Linked DNA regions of Daphnia pulex. The protein of the gene in region 1 interacts with the protein of each later gene in a pairwise test. Links are inferred from orthologs where the notes say so. Each region holds a gene or a part of one and is shown in the gene's direction. Other genes may lie near its edges.

Region 1 (3,220 bases):
GTTTTTTTAGAGATCCAGATTCTATGAATGGCTAGTGATGAATGAACGGATGACTAATACAAAATTTCGTGAAACTTTCACGGAATTACTTCATTCTACGTCAACCCAAGGTTTTGTCTTTCATGGGTGTTGTTGCACAAGAAACAAACAGTTGATTTTTACCAGCGAGTCTTCTGCGAAGGCCAACGCACGAAGAGTCAAGACGCGACAAGACTTTCTCTGAAGGTTGTTGGGGCAAGGATGGAAAAAACCAACAACCAACAACACATGGATCGGAAAATGTAGCTAAGCAGTAGCCAAAGGCTCGCTGCCGGCAGTTCATGTGGAAAGGCTTATGCTTATGTAGTTCAATAATTAACGTTTAAAATATCATGCATTCATGTTTCATGTTCATGCTTGAAGACTAAAAAATGCAGACGTGTAACTAAAACTCTGATTGGAATTTTGTTGTCGTGACGTAAAATGACCACTGGGAATCTTGTTTTACAAGGACGAAGTATGAAATGAGACATGGGAAATTGGCAATTCCCCAAAACTGCTATTCAACATATTTGAATAGGCTACTCTGTATATAGGTCCGCCCATGTAATACTTAAAACTTAAAATGTGAAAATGAATGAATAGATCGCGATTGTGAATTCGGGAAACCCTTCGATTAAAAATGGGAGGGACTGCCGGCCGCAATGTCGCATCCGCATTTCCGACCCCATTTTCCGATATGGATTCTATCCTAGACGAAGCTGTCCCCCACCCACCATCCGATAAAATGCATTTTCTACTCAGAGTGATAGGAACTAGAGGGTTCGTTCGAAAATCAAACGGTTTTCCTTGTTATTTTATATATTTTTGAGCGTATGGGTTGCAGGGGAAGCTCATGCGTGCATCGAGAGATTGGATTTTTCTACAAGGACGAAACCACTGACGCTTTCGCTTGATACAGCGTAACGTTTTCATAAAATTTTGTTTTAAACATTTCATATTTGAATTTTGAATTTTTGGGTTAGATATAACCGTACCAATCATAATATTTTTCGTTTATTGTAAAAAGAAAATTAAATTAATAATCATTCGTTCAAATATTTTCCGCCAGAGGCGCTAGCGAGAAGGACAAAATGGCTCAGAATTTGCCGCAACTCTTAAAGGAATACTTGGGCCCTTAATCTATAAAGTAAGTAAGCTTAGCAGACGCTTGCACTTGCCAAGATCCCGAGATTGTAGCATGTAACTTTGTTTATGTTGTTTTTTTAAAAAGCCCGTGTTACAATTGTGGATTTAAAGGATTCATTCCTATATTTGTGATGGCTTCACATCCAGTCATGGAACTTGATATTTGGAAAGGGGAATGGGGCCTACCATCAATTGACGTTCATTGCTTAGAAGTCATGGTAAGGCAAACAATAATAGGGTAAAATTTAACAAAAAATCCACGTTAGATAACACATTCTTTTTTTTTTTTACTCTTGTTAGACCTATGCCAAATTCTCCGGAACACGGCTGGTAACGAAGTCGACCAATAATCCTTTAAGAACACCCACTGGCTCTTTACCAGTTTTTCAACACGAGAATGAGTGCCTGACAAAATTTGGTGAAATATCAGCTTACCTCAGGAAGAATGTATAGGAATCTATTTTTTATATAATTGTTAATCTATAAATTAAAGATTTTTTGTTTTTCAAAATTAGAACCATACTGCAGATTTTGAACTATCTCCAAAACAGTGTGCTGAAGCATTTGCATACTCTCATCTCATTTATGAGAAGCTTGCTCCAGCACTTCAATTTGTGTGGTGGATTGATTCTAAAAATTTTGTTGAGTTCAGTCGTCCACTTTATGCCAAGCTTTTACCATTCCCTTTAAATTTCTATTATCCTGGTCAATATGAAAAACATGCTAAACAACTAATGGTTTCACTGTATCCTGAAGAAGAGGATTTTTCTGTCATTGAAACAGCAGTAAGTAAACTTGACGTAATTAAAACTGGTATTATTTGTATAACAGGGACTTTATTTTTTGCCAGGTTTATAGACAAGCTGAAGAATGTCTGAGCCTTTTAGCCACTAAACTTGGTGAAAAAGAATATTTTTTTGGACAATCGCCTTCGTCTTTGGATGCTGTAGTATTTGCTCACTTAGCTCCGTTATTGAAAGCTCCCCTGCCCAGTGCTGCTCTGCAAAACCACTTAAAAGCATGTACTAATCTCACTCGCTTCGTGGGACGTATATTGCAGCGATTTTTCCCGAAAGAAGTCAAGGGTACAGTTAAATTCTCAATGTTTCCTGCGACTATTCTTTATACATCTTCTTTTTTTGTCTTTCTGCTTTAGAGCAAGAACAGAAAGAGCGACAGCAAACTGCTAAGCAAGAAGCTCCATATTCTGATACTGACTTTCCAAACAAGTTGCGGAACATAAGTATTGCTGCGCTAGTTTCCTTCATCGCGATGATTGCCTATGCCACATCGGCCGGCATCATACAGGTAAATCGATTAATCGATAATTGATTTTAATACGTCACCCACTAACCTAGTGATTCGGCATTTTATTAGGTGGTGCCTGAAAGCGACGAGGATGAAGAGTGATTGCACTTCACGTCAATAGGATGAATAGTGTCCGTACTCATTATGCTTTTTTCAGTAGACACATGTGATCAAGTCCAGCTTGAAAAGAAAAAGCCTTTCCATACCATCAGAGTCGAATAAATCTGTGTGTATTTAGTCATCAAGCCCAACAAGTAAATCAAAACAATTTCATCGTGTTCATACGGGGGAGGATTGCCAATTTTTTTTTTTTTTATTTTATAATAAGAAAACTTTACTGTCGAGGAAACAAAATAAGAAATACATGAGGGGTGGGATGGTAGAAAGGAAACTCGGCGGACGCAATGGATAGGATACGTAAACTTTGGACTTTGGTAGATCTACACATGGGGGGGGGGGGGAAACAAGCGCTCTCGACGCGCTGTATCAGTTCCGTGATGCTCTGAATTGGGTTCGGAAAAGTGACGACGCTCTCAGCGTTTTCATGGGGCTCTCATGCGGAACGTATATATATATAGCTGATATTTCATGATGACTTGTACATTTTGTTCTTCCATGATTCTCTTTTCACCAGTCGCGCATTGTAATTCTTTCTTAAATGTTGGGAACTCTCGGGGGAAATTTGTCCGAGTCATGCCACCCGGATCGTCCAGGCAGTGTTGGGTCTCTGCACACACATTTTTAT
Region 2 (3,167 bases), on another chromosome or scaffold:
TTGAAAGTCGAGAATTTCTTGAATAAACTAAAACAAATGTTTGGTAGTCGATTTCTACTGTGTTATATAATTTTCATCTGGCGTTTCTTGTTGACGTGTGACAACGTGGCGCTGTCTGCATTTGTTATGAGAAGTCGCTCAGCGCCATCTTGCGTTGGGAGCCTTGCCTACATGGTTGGAAAATAATTTGGTGACATTGTCAGTCAATTCAATTGAGAGAGTTGGCCGAGTCCCGTTGCGTTTTTTATTGCTCGAAAGCGCATTACGTGCATAATAAATGCAGTCGGATGAAAAATATTTTCCCGAATGATAAATATTGAAATGTCAAAAGTCTACGACTCTTCTCCGAAAAAGGTTTGGTCTGTCTGGGCTACGATGGGACGGCGATGACAAGGTCTGTTGACACAAGGACGTCAGATAGCACCAAACAACGCGATTCCTTGAATTTCTAATACAACAAACAAATGAAAAAGTCTCGAAATGGACCCTCAACGAAGATCTTCGTCATTGTCTCGTGGAAAAAGTCGGCAGAGCTCCCGGAAAACGTTTCGCATATCATTAATAATAAATCCCCGAATAGTTTGCCTTATTCGAAGGCTAAATATAGCTTGAAATTTCACTACAAAAAAGCGGTCAATGAAAAACTTGTGAATAACTTGATGTTGCGACCACTTTCGGCATCCTGGAAACAAGATACTGAATTGTTACGGTTTTTTTTAGCATCAATTGGTATCAATTACCATCACGAGAAAATAACGCGCACTTCGACAAATAATAGAACTTGGGTCAGAAATCAAGTTTTTTAAAGGTAAAAATCAGGAGCAGTAAATTAAAAACAGATTTCAAAACACACAAAAACAGGTCGGTCCTAGAGGGAAATTTACGCTTGCAAAAAGGGAACTGATTATTATGTGGAGCACGACGACGTGTTCTAGCGACATTCGCATTTCGCGGTACGATGTGGCAAGTACATTTCGTAGAAATGCATTTAGAAGGGCGTTGAAAAGCAGAAAGTTACGTTACAGGTGAACATTTAACTATATTTAATATAAAAAACAAATTGGTAGAAATATTTATTAATTAATACATTCTCTATCAACCTGTATTTTCACAGCAAAACATTTTGAATTTTGAATACGTTTGATTACAAATATAATTATGATTTATGATGCAATAATTATTTCAATGACAAATTTTTACTACAATTCTTAAATATCTAGTTACTAGTTGGTCAGTAAATTAAGCTTATTAGAAAAATCCAATTTTGAAATTTATTTTGGGTTCATCATTTTTGCGTAATTTGGCAACTCTGAATAAAAACCGCAGCAGCCGATCTAAAAATAATTCCGTATTGATGTTGTGATTTTCTTATTTTAGCCGATAAAAGTTTAATTCATTACGATAATGCCATCAGTTTTACTAACAGACTCTATTTCATTAGAGCTTGGAGGTAATCATTTTGGATATTTTATATTTTCACATTTATTTCTCACTTTTAAAAAAACCTAATAGCTTTGGAACCTTGGCCTTCTGACGTCAAACTTTATCAGCCCTATGAAGTTGAACAAATTCTATTGCAAGATCAAGCCAATTCTTTGGCTGTCCAAGTTTTTCTGCGAATGTGTGGTTTAGAATTTCAGGTAAATTGGAAAACTAAAACTAAGGAAATCTTAAGTTATTGATTTATTTCTTTTCTTAGGTGGAAATGAGAAGCAATGCTGAGCATATGTCACCATCCGGAAAATTGCCTTTCATAAAATGTGGTGCCTTTGTAGTAGCTGATCTTGACCCTGTTGTCAGTTTTGTGAGCAACAAGGTATTTTCAATATTTTCTCTACAATCCCATTTTATGACGTGTTTTTTTTTGTAGGGTATAAATCTTACAGATCACTTGGATGCTGCTCAAAAAGCAGACATGAGAGCTTACATGTCTTTAGCAAACAATATATTGGGAAATGCAGAGGTATTATATTATTATATTTGTAACTACTTTTGTGTGTTATGTGATTGATGAGCAGTGTTTGTTCCTACTTAGTTATATATCAGCTGGTGTGATGAAACTGTTTTGAATGAAGTAACTGGTCCTCGTTATGGCTCTGTCTATTCTTGGCCTTTGAACACTCTGCTAACCTGGAGAAAACAGAAACAAGTAACTAAGAAATTAACTGCTCTTGGCTGGATTACCAAAACACTTGATGAGGTGATTTGTTTGGTCTAATAGTTTTTGCATTAGAAAATTATTTATTATTTTCCTGCAGGTATATGAAGATGTTGATCATTGCTGTAATGCGCTAAGTGAGCGATTAGGAAACCACCTTTATTTCTTTAATGATAGGTATTAAATTTTTTAAAATGGGTTTCTAATAAAATAAGTGCTGACTTTGTTCCTCGTCATTAGATGCACGGAATTAGATGCGGTTGTCTTTGGCCATGTGTTTACTTTGCTGACCACACCGTTGCCCGACAATAGATTAGCATCCATTGTGCGATCCTACCCGAATCTGGTCGAGGCTTGCCAGTTCCTTGAGAAGACTTACTTCCAGAAACCAACCGCCAAGACAACGGACGATGACAGCGATAATTTTGACTAAGTTCAAATAGTATAGGAAAAGTTGTAAAGTTTATAATAGCCCCATACTTCTGAGATTTACACGCTATTATATTTCATTGATATGATATCCTTTAGAGTAAGCACACACGCGGTTATTAAATACAAGAGTAGAAAATTCAAAAAAATATAGTAAAGGGTTTGAAAAATGAACACTAGGTGGTTTGACTATGCTAGGGGAGGAGTGACACGTTTCAACGTTTTGCCGCTAGGGCAGAGGTTGGGAAATGAGCTGCTTACAGTCAGTTTGGGAACCGGGTTCGGAGCAGAAAATGGCGTCTAGCTTCCTGGACGATTTAATCTCGAACCCGTCAGCGGATGCCGACGCTGTCTCCGCGTTAGTTGGATCACTTGAGAGCCAGTTGAGTAATGCAAATGTTGGTGCTAGTAATAACACACAAGGCGGCGGCTTGGCTTTTACGACAAGCTCTACCTCGTCGGTTCCTCCACCGCTGCAGCCTGCCAATACCCCGTCCGCTGCCACCACAACGGCAACATTCGCGGGAAACGGCAGTAGCCTGCACGCAACAACAACTTGCGCGCCAGCAGCATCAGTTCC

What was found. The genes of interacting proteins can lie anywhere in the genome.
Region 2: the proteins of metaxin-1-like (region 1) and metaxin-2-like interact in a two-hybrid assay, tested with the Drosophila melanogaster proteins (2 studies listed by BioGRID). The link is inferred for Daphnia pulex from reciprocal best matches to the Drosophila melanogaster genes CG9393 and CG8004.

Annotation. Positions count from the first base shown.
Region 1 is NC_060018.1:1,526,737-1,529,956, reverse strand, and holds metaxin-1-like, read left to right. Parts: upstream 1-1,171; 5' UTR 1,172-1,298; coding exon 1,299-1,385; intron 1,386-1,467; coding exon 1,468-1,614; intron 1,615-1,682; coding exon 1,683-1,952; intron 1,953-2,017; coding exon 2,018-2,252; intron 2,253-2,320; coding exon 2,321-2,475; intron 2,476-2,544; coding exon 2,545-2,577; 3' UTR 2,578-2,720; downstream 2,721-3,220. UniProt on the Drosophila melanogaster protein: Involved in transport of proteins into the mitochondrion. Essential for embryonic development.
Region 2 is NC_060026.1:12,796,497-12,799,663, reverse strand, and holds metaxin-2-like, read left to right. Parts: upstream 1-1,290; 5' UTR 1,291-1,404; coding exon 1,405-1,450; intron 1,451-1,512; coding exon 1,513-1,640; intron 1,641-1,699; coding exon 1,700-1,816; intron 1,817-1,870; coding exon 1,871-1,963; intron 1,964-2,035; coding exon 2,036-2,200; intron 2,201-2,258; coding exon 2,259-2,335; intron 2,336-2,398; coding exon 2,399-2,591; 3' UTR 2,592-2,667; downstream 2,668-3,167. Other genes in the region: transcription initiation factor TFIID subunit 4-like, read left to right, coding at 2,836-3,167.